Lonchura striata: one gene and its partners. The protein of the gene in region 1 purifies or fractionates together with the protein of each later gene. This does not show direct contact. Links are inferred from orthologs where the notes say so. Each region holds a gene or a part of one and is shown in the gene's direction. Other genes may lie near its edges. The genes, in order: TSSC4, PRPF6 and ECD.

What was found.
Region 2: the proteins of TSSC4 (region 1) and PRPF6 purify together in Homo sapiens (affinity purification with mass spectrometry; 3 studies listed by BioGRID and IntAct, counting the BioPlex papers as one, with this or other methods). This does not show direct contact. The link is inferred for Lonchura striata from reciprocal best matches to the Homo sapiens genes TSSC4 and PRPF6.
Region 3: the proteins of TSSC4 (region 1) and ECD purify together in Homo sapiens (affinity purification with mass spectrometry; 3 studies listed by BioGRID and IntAct, counting the BioPlex papers as one, with this or other methods). This does not show direct contact. The link is inferred for Lonchura striata from reciprocal best matches to the Homo sapiens genes TSSC4 and ECD.

Annotation. Positions count from the first base shown.
Region 1 is NC_134608.1:47,080,818-47,084,561, forward strand, and holds the start of TSSC4 (U5 small nuclear ribonucleoprotein TSSC4), read left to right. Parts: upstream 1-1,030; 5' UTR 1,031-1,158; exon of another isoform or gene 1,159-1,209; intron 1,210-1,559; exon of another isoform or gene 1,560-1,754; intron 1,755-2,482; exon of another isoform or gene 2,483-2,555; intron 2,556-3,545; 5' UTR 3,546-3,633; coding exon 3,634-3,744. UniProt on the Homo sapiens protein: Protein associated with the U5 snRNP, during its maturation and its post-splicing recycling and which is required for spliceosomal tri-snRNP complex assembly in the nucleus.
Region 2 is NC_134619.1:6,854,870-6,858,613, reverse strand, and holds the start of PRPF6 (pre-mRNA-processing factor 6), read left to right. Parts: upstream 1-1,089; 5' UTR 1,090-1,207; coding exon 1,208-1,278; intron 1,279-2,259; coding exon 2,260-2,428; intron 2,429-3,245; coding exon 3,246-3,364; intron 3,365-3,744. UniProt on the Homo sapiens protein: Involved in pre-mRNA splicing as component of the U4/U6-U5 tri-snRNP complex, one of the building blocks of the spliceosome.
Region 3 is NC_134609.1:37,290,295-37,294,038, reverse strand, and holds the start of ECD (protein ecdysoneless homolog), read left to right. Parts: upstream 1-1,429; coding exon 1,430-1,625; intron 1,626-2,831; coding exon 2,832-2,949; intron 2,950-3,306; coding exon 3,307-3,394; intron 3,395-3,744. Other genes in the region: primary cilium assembly protein FAM149B1, read right to left, coding at 353-464, 605-756. UniProt on the Homo sapiens protein: Regulator of p53/TP53 stability and function. Inhibits MDM2-mediated degradation of p53/TP53 possibly by cooperating in part with TXNIP. May be involved transcriptional regulation. In vitro has intrinsic transactivation activity enhanced by EP300.

The DNA of each region.
Region 1 (3,744 bases):
AGCTGCTCTGAAACTACTGCATGACTCCAGCTAGACAGGAGGCATTTTGCAATAACCTCATCACTGCTGCCAAGTGTGTTCCAAACACAGACCTCGTGTCATAAATTACTGTAATTAGCAACACTCCAGCAGGCAAAAGTATGTATTTAAAAACGAAGGATGCACATGAAGTGACTGCAGTTTATATTATGTGTGAGTCACGGCGAGGCAGAGCTTGAAGGGAGCCAGTGAAGCTCCTGCAGCCACAGCATTGTCTGGCACAATCCTTTCCAGCACAGCAAACCTTTTCCTAAACACAGGGAAAACAAGCTGAATAGTGAAGCCTCTTGGGAAATGTATTTGCGCTGAAAATTTCAACTTTTTTTGCTGAAATAAGGGGAAAAACAAAAATCTAGTCTCTTTGGCCGGCGCCAATAAAACATTTTCAGACAGAGCCCCACTTCTTGACACACGCGCAAAAAATGTTCCTCTGGGACGGAAAATGGAAACTTTTTTATTTGGATGGATAGTGGTTTTATGCCTCAAGTGACTTCGGGTTTTCTGGTTTGAGAATAAACACGTAAGAGAGAGGAAAAACAACAACAACAACAACAAAAAAAGAAACCAAACAAAGCAAACAGAAAACTTCGGATGTGTTCGTGGTGGCCAAGCCCTGCTGTTCCGATGAGAACAAAAGCTGTGACATGGGTTTTTTTCTAGACTGCGACTGCGGAAGGCGGCGGCGGTGCCGTGTCCGCCCCTCACGGCGCCGGGGCGGCCCCGCGGCTCTCCGGGGTGCACGGGCGAGCCCCGCACCGAGCCCCGCACCGAGCCCCGCACCGAGCTCCGCACCGAGCCCCGCACCGAGCACCGGGCCCCGGGCCCCGAGCAGGGCCCGCACAGGCTGCGAAATGTCGGCGCCGCGGTGCGCCCTGGGAGCTGTAGTCCCGCCGCGCAGCGCCGCCTCGCCCCGCTCCCCGGCTCGCAAAATGTCCTCCGCCGAGGCGAGACGGCCGCCTACAACTCCCAGCAGCCCCGAGAGAGGCGGGGCGGGGAGGCGCCGGCCCTTTCCGCGCCGCGCTGCCCGCCGGGAGCTGTAGTCCTGCCGCCGCCGTGGCCGCCCCGTGGAGCAGGGCAGAGGGACTCGGTGTCCCGGCGCGCCGCGGGCCGTGGGCGGAGGTGGGCAAGGCGGGCGGCTGCTGTGGAAGTGTGGGGCTGTGCGGTGTCGGGGTACGGGGGCTCCCCCTTCCATTCCCCCCTCCCTTCGCCTCCCCGGCGGTTCGCGCTGCGTGCCCGGGCGGGTGGCGGTGGCCGGGGCGCAGGGCCAGCGAGGGCCGCGTGTGGGGCGGGCGGTTCGCATCCAGCAGCATCCCGGGCCGCGAAGCGCTCTGGGGCCGGGACGGGCAGCACAGCCGGGGCCGCACCATCACCGTGCCCAGCGGCCGGTGCTCTTTTCCCTGTTCCTCTTCGCTGTTCCTCGGCGCGGGGGCCTGCGGATCCCCGTCCCGAGGGGCTGTGTGGGCTTTGGCGCGGCCCGTGGTCGCGGTTTGCGGTGTCTGAGGTCTCCGTCCTCCGCACAGAGCAGCGCCAGGATGGAGGAGCCCGCTGGGATCGTTCCCATCCGGAGGGACGTCATGCTGCCCGAGTCGTGCTGTGATCGCGTCACCGTAACACACCTGTGAGTGGGTCTGGTGTGCTGTAAGGGCCGGCATGTTTGGCCACCAACTTTGTTAAGGCCAAAACATCTCCTTAGGAGCAGAATTTCTCCTTTCTGTGTAAGTGCCCTCAGACAAGACATGGCCCTGATGATCACTTCTATTGCCATCTGAAAACAGCTATTTTATTTAATTGTGCACTTCGAGGCCTTTTCTGAGTTGTAGTCATTACTTTTCATATGTTCCAAAACTAAGCAGAAGGCTGTATCATTTTAAGAAGATTATTTCCCACTAGGAGTTACATGGAGGGCAGTGTTTTCAAAAGTAGCCATCAGATCCTTTCTGTCAAAGACAGCCAAACTTGACATGGAACATAGCACTCCTCAAAAGGTCTCTGTGTTTTGTGATTCATAACAATCTGGCCCTAAATTTGAACGTGACGTTTCTTTGAAAACAAAAGTCTCTGTTACCCATGGTCTTAATACTTAGCAGCACTTAATGTTTACAATGCATAACTATTATTTTTGTATCTTAGCTGCATTTAATACTGTTTATTTACTCTTTTGCACATGCAAATTACAGCTTGATTTTTTTTAAAACCTCCCTTCTGTTCTACAGGATAAAGTTGGCAGTGTGAATGTGAAGGCTGGGTAAATATACTGGTGCCTATGTTATTAGGCTGTGTGCTGTTCTTCTGCCAAAAATTCAGTAATATCTACAGACTTTTATACCACTATGAGTTTGTGTCAGATTTAGAACCCAGTTCTGCAGCTTTGGATAATTCAGGGGGACAGAATTATTTTTAAAACTACATTTCCAGTATCATGATGGAAATGTTTATTTTCTAGGGTGGAAGTGCTGAGATCTTTGGTGGCTTTAACTGACCCTCAGGAGGGAAAGCTGACTCAGTCTCAAGAGAAAGTGAGTGACTAACAGACTGTCCATGTCTGTTTACTGCATCGTTACAGAAGAGCCTATAATTAGGTAGTCAAGCTTATTCTAATAATATGTTAGAACTGTTTCCATAATTCACGTGAGCTGAACCAAAATGTGTGTGTGCACCAGCTCTGTTTCCAATTGCCCAGCAAGTGGTAGCTGGGTCATCGACCGCCAGAATTCAGCGAGATTCCCTTCAAGCAGGTGGCACTGTCAGGTGTTCCAGCTGCTCCTGGAAGTCAGGCTTCAAATCATGCTGTCATTTACTGACTGAAGGGCCAGCTCTTGCAGGCCTGTGGTTGCAATCTCTCCTAGTTTCCATGTGTGAGCCTGGTATGTGTAATTAGATTTCTTAATCCAATGGGATTGATTTCTTGAGCTGGCTGGTTTTCCAATTCCTGGAATCTAGTAATGACTTAAGAGAATAAAACCAAAGGAAGGAGTGGAGTTTGTATTTTATGCCACATTTAAGCAGGCTTAAAACAGCGGCCCTTTTATTTTTGTCATCTGTCACTGATGGCTGTTGGGACAGCAGGTACAGTGCTAATGCAGTAAGGGTTGTACTGGCCACAGGCAAGTGTGAGAAATTGGATGTGTTTTTGTGGATTTTTACAGTGTGAGTAAACACAGTGTAATATGCAGAGTCTTGGAAGATGTACAAGACAGGGATTCAGATTAACTCAAGAGCTTTATGTTCATCTTTTAGTAATTGCATCTGATGCAACCTGTAATGAAATTTGGTAGCATTACTTTCAATTACTTCATATTCTTCTATTCAGTCTTGTGTAAATCTTTAATTTTAATGTGCATTCATTCCTTAAATAATGCTTTCATTTGAAGCAAAATTGCTTGGGAATCCCTAAAGCACAGCTAACTGTTATATTGCAGTTATAATTACTTTGCATGACACAGAGTGATGGTCTCATTCTTGGTTCTCATTTCACAGTTAAGTTTTTATGCTCCTTTGTATTCTAGGCACTAAATTTGCTGGGCATTTGGAAAAGCGTATTTAGAGTTGTTCCTGGGCCTACATCAAAGACCTCAGTGGAGTGACAGCTTGAAGATGGGAGACCAGGAGGCAGGTGAACCTTTTCTGGGGATAGTGGCTGATGGTGGCAAAGACTACGAAGGAGCTCTGCCCTCAGACACGGTGTCACTCAGCGATTCTGACTCT
Region 2 (3,744 bases), on another chromosome or scaffold:
CTGGGGTCCCTTGGCAGGGCCATCCCTGCTGTCACCACACAATAAAGTTGGAAGTGAGAGGCCCCTCAGAAGGAATGAGAAGAAATCCAGCTTTTGCTCCCAGAGATAATTTGGCTCGGAATTAGCAGGAGGAAAAGGGGGGAGGCAAAGCTCACACCTCGGGAAACAAGGGTGAGCAGATGGAGGCTTTGTCCTGCTCCAGCCCTCCTGGGATGATCCTGGCCCTTTTTCCCCCTTTTCTGCCCCATTCTGCCCGGGGGTTGTTAAACACAGCTTTGCTTCTCACAGGGCCGCACGCCACCTGGGATGTTCCTTAGTAGCTTCCTAATGACAATAAAAATAACGAATTGCTATAAATGTGAAACTCCATGACAGCAGAGCTCAACGTCCCTGTGAAAAATGCATGTTTTATGATTGGCTTTTCACAAGTATTACAATTAATATTATATGTGTAATGTTAGAAAGTTATGCTGTATAAATTCTCTTAAGTAGTGTGTTAAATATAGTTTTAGGTTCCAACATAATGTAAAAATAGAGACTACCTAAGTGGGGGGACTTTTTTTTTGGGGATGAGATGCTTGCTTCGAGGAACACCTAAATCTTCCAGAGAAAAGGAATTTATGGTTTTCTGATCAGAAGAAGCTAATTTCTTCAGGCCTTGCTCAGACTCGAAGACGCCTTGGGGATTAAAGGAAACAGTTGACATACAACGGACAGAGGTCTTGTTTTAAATAGAATGTATGCATAACCATGAAGGATATATGAATATACAACAAGTGTATTGGTTTAAGGGGGATTCCTTTGTTCACAAGGTATGCTTCTCATGACTGAGTGTCCCAGAGCAGCCGGACGTCCGTAATTCTTTGCTTTTTATTGTCTTGTAATTGTCCTAACTCTAAACCTTATTCCTCTAATTGTATTGCTATTTTTACAACCATTTTATTATTATTAAACTGTTAAAAAAATGTTAAAAACCAGGCGGTTGGCGGTTTTTCACAACCCCCACGCCCTTCGTCCCCGCCACCCTCATCGCCCTCAGCGCGCCTCAGCCCTCCGCGCCGCCAGGGGGCGCTGCTCCGGCGGGAGCGGAAGTGCCGCTCCGGCCTCGCGGCGCCACTTCCGCCGCCGCTTTCCCGGCCGCCTCTCCCGGCTCTGCTCCGCTCCCGCCCCGCTCTCGCCTCGCTGTCGCTTCGCCGCCACCGCCGTCATGAACAAGAAGAAGAAGCCGTTCCTGGGCATGCCCGCGCCCCTGGGCTACGTGCCGGGGCTGGGCCGCGGGTGAGACGCCGCCAGGCCTGGCCTGGCCCCCCCCGCCCCGCCGGTCCCTTCACAGCCCGGTCGCTCCGCCGGGCCTCGGGGCTCTCCCGAGCCCTTTCGCGGCCCGGCTGGGTCACACCTCCGTGCGCCGCTCGTCCCCGTCCCCTCGGGGTGGCCCGCGCGGCTTTTCAGTGTTGTCCCTTCCTGATGGCTCCCGTTCACTCTCTGGCTGGGCGGGGTTGTGTTAAAAAGCCAGCCTGGCTCCCAGGATGAGTTCCCGGGTGCTTCAGACCGGCAAAGGATTGTGTCCCTCCTGATTCTGTGACTGTGTGCGGGTGGGAGCGTCTGAAAAACGATCAAACCTGGGGGCTTTTATTGATGGAACAATGAGGGAGTTTGGTGGTGGCTGAGATAATTTTTAGGGTGTTGTTTGCTGGGTGTGAGTTGTGTTCATCCCCCCTGATTTCCTATTGCCTTCCCTGGGGAGATCCTGCTGGCTGTGCCCCTCGGGGTGCTGCCGGGCCAGTGTGGGGGTTCAGCTCCAGCTGCCTTTGCCCTGATCCCCAGCCTGTGGTGCCCCACAGCCTGCAGGGTCAGCTGAGAGATCCAGAGACAGAATTCAGAAAGGGGCTGTGCATGGGATGGGTGGCAGTGCTGTGAGCTGGGTGGTTGCAGTGTATTTGTGGGAAAAGTTCTCCCTATAAAAGGGTGCCTAGAGAAGCTGTGGCTGCCCCACCCCTGGAAGTGTCCGAGGTTGGATGGGGCTTGGAGCAATTAGTGGAAGGTGCTCCTGCCCATGGCAGGAGGTTGGAACGGGGTGAGCTCCTTCCAACCCAAACCATTCCATGATTCCAAGGCTGTTTTCCCTCTGGCTTTACGAAAGCTGGTCACGAGGAGCGCCTGATGCCGTTCTCCCAAAGGAATGATGTTTTCCCTGCCTGCCCTGAGCAGTGGCTGTGGCAGGCTGGGGTAGCAGTGAGCTGAGCAGGTTTATCCCTGCAGAGCCACGGGCTTCACCACGCGCTCTGACATCGGCCCTGCCCGCGATGCCAACGACCCCGTGGACGACCGGCACGCCCCGCCGGGCAAGAGAACCGTGGGCGACCAGATGAAGAAGAACCAGACCGCAGATGATGATGATGAGGATTTGAATGACACCAACTACGACGAGGTGAGGAGGTTTTCATCATCCTGCAGCTGTTTTTCCCCAGGTGGAAGAAGAGTCCTTGAGCTCTTCTGCTCTTGCTATGAGCCCTGCTCCTAGCTGAGGCTTCAAACCCAGAGTTTCCCGTAGTTTGCAGGCAGCATTTCCTTTTTTATTTATTGATTGAGACCTCAGTATGCACAGTGGCATGGTGCTTACAGATTCTTGTTGTGGCCTTGCTCCATGGATTGTGGTTTAATTGCTGATGCAGAGCCCTGAGAGTTTTTGGAAAATATCTATAAATAAAAATTAGTTTAAGTATTTCAGGTTTTTTTTTTTTATTCTTCACAAATGAAAGCTGATGTGCTTTGACAAGATTGGACTTGATGATCTTGGAGGTCTTTTCCAACCTAAATGACTCCGATTCTGTGCCATATATTGTCATTAAGTGGCCTGTATAGTCTCTTAAGTCCCACTTTGGTTGGTTGAATGTTGTGATACTATTTCTGCTTGCTTTCACTGGTGTAGAAAGTGGTTAAAGGAAGAGAATGGCTCTTCTATCCTGGGATCTCATTTATTGCTGAATAGAAGTGGTTTAGAGAAAGAAGCAATTTTGTAGCAGTTTTGCTTCAAATGGTGTGGGAGAATAAACACCACCATGGGATGGTGTTTATTTATCCTTCTGGAGGATGCTTTTATTTAGGGATGTGTTAATCTGATGCAATGTTGTCAGAAGCAGCCTGTGAATGCATTTTCAGGTGATTGTTGTTGCAGAAACATAACAGGAACTTAAAAAACCTGCCTTTTTTTCCTCTTTTTTTTCCCCTCTCTCTCCAATTTCCAGTTCAATGGCTATGCTGGGAGCCTGTTCTCAAGTGGCCCCTATGAAAAAGATGATGAAGAAGCAGATGCTATTTATGCAGCTTTGGACAAGAGGATGGATGAACGCAGGAAAGAAAGGAGGTAGGATAAGCTACAGCACTAGCAGGGGGTGTTTCCTGGTTAATTGAGGATGACAGGTATTTTGCACCACTTGCTTTGATAGTGGATGCCATTAAATTACTTCACTGTAGTTAATTAAGAGTCCCTGTAGTTCATTAAGATGGTGTGGGGAGATGCATCACAGACTGCACAGTAGATTGGAAATTGTTAGAGGAGTCACCTCATGCTTGTAAACAGTATGTGTTACTTGTTAAATTCACCTCTCATTAAGAGGAGGTCAGAGACTGAAGTTCACTTGGAGATGTCTGTTTTTACACTATAATACTGTCTTATTTGATAAAGGATCTCTTGTTGTAATGTTGATAATCTAAGATTGGAAAAAAATGCCCTTTTTTATGCCC
Region 3 (3,744 bases), on another chromosome or scaffold:
CTATTTTGAGAAACATGCAAGGATGCAGAAGTTTGATAAACGCACGCCAAGTATCTCAAAGTCATCCAGCCATGGCTGGGGTTCCACAGGAACAGCATTTATAGATACAATTATGCACTAAATGATTTACATTTCCAACATTTTTAGTGGAAATGCAGAATATTAACAGAATAGTATGAGCCTAGTGTGTTTTAAACTGAAAGATGGAAAGCAGTAAAAAAGGTATTCTTTCTATAATCACTACCATGATTTTTTGACAGATCCAATCATTTTTGTTCTAACATGTCTTTGCAGTGGTATTTCAAGTGTCTTTCTGTGCTCGATTTGGCTTGGATGATTATGTTCTACTCACGTCATAGCCCCAGGAGAAGACTGAGCTGTCTTCTGTGGAGGTGTCAGCCCAACCCTGACTAGCAGTCCGTGGATCCCCATGATCATCCGATCCCTTATGGATTCCCGACTCCCTGAAACGCGCACGTCGAGCCAAAAGCAAAACCAAAAAGAAAGCAAAACAGCGGACAATAAACAATGAGAGATCGAGTGTGTCAGTAAACAAAGCCCAGCTGGATCAGAACAGCTGGATCAGAGGTATCAGGACAAGTACCTGGAGGTCTGGGCGAGGTGTTCAGCCGTGGGTGTGGCTGAGCACACCTGAGCCCCTGGCTCTGGCAGTGGGTGATGCCTCAGGGCATGTTTTGGGAGTCCTTGTCTGAAAAAACAGCACTGGGACTTGGCACAACTTACAAGAATAAACATTGACCGAGTTCCCAGTAAGTTTTATAGGTTTCTCTTTCCTTCTTTTCAAGGACTGTGCACACATTTATGACTATTACAAAGCTAATTCTTGTCACCAAAGCTCTAGGTTTAAGGTGTGAAAACTAACTCTAGGATAAATATGGAGTTAAAGGTCTTGCTTCAAAATCAGTTCAACTTAAACCTAACATGCTGTGAACTGGCCTACAGCTCCCTAAAAGCAGAGACAACGCCATTATCCTTGTAGATTAATTGAGTTGAATTAAATAGAACAAGAGTAAACGAGCCGAGTAAGTCAGAACTGACTAAATCCTTGGGTCAGGAGAAAAAAAGCCAGTTACAGGGATTTAATCGCGTTCTGTCACACCGGTGTCTGCTCGAGACCGCTGCTCGGGAACCCCGGGAGCCATCTGCCGCCGGGGACATGGGGTGACCGGGCCGTCACAGGGCCCTGCTTGGCGCAGCGGGGAGCGCGGGCGGCAGGCCCGGGAGCGGGGCCGGGGGGATCGCGACCGGGACCGCGATGGGGCTCGGGGCCGTGCCGGGCCCCGGGGGAGCGGCAGCCACTCACGCCAGCACCGGTTTCCGCGCGTATCGCGATATCATCCTCAGCGCCGCCGCCCCGCCGCCGCCATCGCGCCGCTGCTCGCCGGGGGCGGAGCGCGGCCGCGGCGCGATGGAGGCGCTGCGGCGGCCGGCGCTGCCCGAGGACGCGGTGCGCTACCGCCTGTTCGCGGCGGCGGCGGCGGGCCCGGGCGGCGAGGCGCTGCTGCGGCGCTGCGCTGAGCTGGCCCTGCTGCGCTTCGCCCCGCTCCTGGCCGCCTACGTGTGGCAGCGGCAGCCGTTCCGCCTGCGCTACGTGCCGCGCCGCGGTGAGCCGGGAGCGGGCCGGGAGGCGCGGCGGGAGGAGCGCCCGGAGCGGCGGCACTGGGAGGGGGACCCGGGAACCGGGAGCGTGTGAGGGGAACTGCGGGAGTGTGAGGGGCTCCCGGAGGTCGGGAACCGACGGCGTGTGAGGGGAATCCGCCGGGATCTAACCGGGAGCGTGTGAGGGGAACTGCGGGCATGTGAGGGGGATACGGTGGCCAGGAACCGAGAGCGTGTGAGGCGGACCCGACGGCCGGGGAAGGGGAGCGAGTGAGGGGGAACCGGGAGCGAGTGAGGGGGAACCGGGAGTGAGTGAGGGGAGCCGGGAGCGAGTGAGGGGGGACCGGGAGCGAGTGAGGGGAACCGGGAGCGAGTGAGGGGAACCGGGAGCGAGTGAGGGGGAACCGGGAGTGAGTGAGGGGAGCCGGGAGCGAGTGAGGAGAACCGGGAGCGAGTGAGGGGAACCGGGAGCGAGTGAGGGGAACCGGGAGCGAGTGAGGGGAACCGGGAGCGAGTGAGGGGGACCGGGAGCGTGTGAGGGGGAATCGGGAGCGAGTGAGGGGAACCGGGAGCGAGTGAGGGGAGCCGGGAGCGAGTGAAGGGAGCCGGGAGCGAGTGAGGAGAACCGGGAGCGAGTGAGGGGGAGCCGGGAGCGAGTGAAGGGAGCCGGGAGCGAGTGAGGGGAGCCGGGAGCGAGTGAGGGGAGCCGGGAGCGAGTGAAGGGAGCCGGGAGGCGGTGAGTGGAACCGGGAGCGAGTGAAGGGAGCCGGGAGTGAGTGAGGGGGAGCCGGGAGCGAGTGAAGGGAGCTGGGAGCGAATGAAGGGAGCCGGGAGCGAGTGAGGGGAACCGGGAGCGATGAGGAGAACCGGGAGCGAGTGAGGGGAGCTGGGAGCGTGTGGGAGGAACCGGGAGCGAGTGAGGGGGAACCGGGAGCGAGTGAAGGGAATCAGGAGCGAGTGAGGGGAACCGGGAGCGAGTGAGGGAGGACGCGGCGGCTCCACAGACTCCTCTCAGTGTCACGGCAGGGTTAACCCAGTGAGGAATCTGGTGCCACCTCCCCGCTGCAGCAGCGTCATCGCAGAGCACAGGACTCAAGATTGCTCAGCAGGGTCTGGAGTATCCCCAGGGAGGGAGACTCCGCAGCCTGTGTGGACAATCTGTTCCTGGGCAGGGGCTGCTGAGCCACCGCTCCTCTCTGTGCCCCGTCCAGGCGAGACCCCGGCGCACATCGGCGGCACCACCGTGTTTGGGGATAACGTGGAGGATGAGTGGTTCATTGTGTACCTGCTCCGGGAGATCACCAGGGAGTTCCCGGGGCTGGCAGCCAGGTAAGGCGGGCCCTGCTGAGGTGCTTTAGTGGGAGGGCTGCGAAGGGGCAGTGCCTATGCTGTGAAGGTCCTGTCTGAACATTCCCCGTCCTTGGAGCTGTTTCCCCATCCCATTCATGTTTGAGGTGTCCAAGGGCAGGTTGGATAGGGCTTGGTGCAGGCTGGGCTAGTGGAAGGTGTGCCTGCCTGTGGCAAGGGTGTTGGAACCAGATGATCTTCAAGGTCCCTTCTAACCTAAGCCTTTCTATGGGGGGTCTATGGTGGATATTAAAAATCCTCAGCAGACATGGATTCAGAAGTGTGTTGTTGTGCTCTGCAAAGCTTTTCCTGCTAAGAAACTAATTTCTCCTTGGCCAGGATTGATGACAACGATGGAGAGTTTCTTTTGATAGAAGCTGCTGATTTTCTCCCAAAGTGGCTGAATCCTGAGAACAGTGAAAACAGGGTGAGTAAAACTTGTATACAATTGGCAAGGGGGCCACAGTAGCCTTTTATGTAGCAGCTGGAGTTTCTCTTGCACTTCTAGCCAAGTGGTCTGGCTGCCTCTGAAAATCCAGAGTGCTGTGTGTCCCTTACTGTTGCTCCCTTCAGGAGCACTCCTGTATCCACCTGAACTTTCTAGCTCTGCTGGAACCATTTGGATGATTTTTTTTTACCATGTTCAGGAGTGTTTAGGCAAGAGGATTTGCTGCCCTCAGAGCAGGGAATGCTCAGGGTTTGAGTGTTTCTGTCTCTGTAAGGACACAGGCTTTGTCTGGTACAGGCGAAATAATGAGCAGACACCTTCACCTGGGT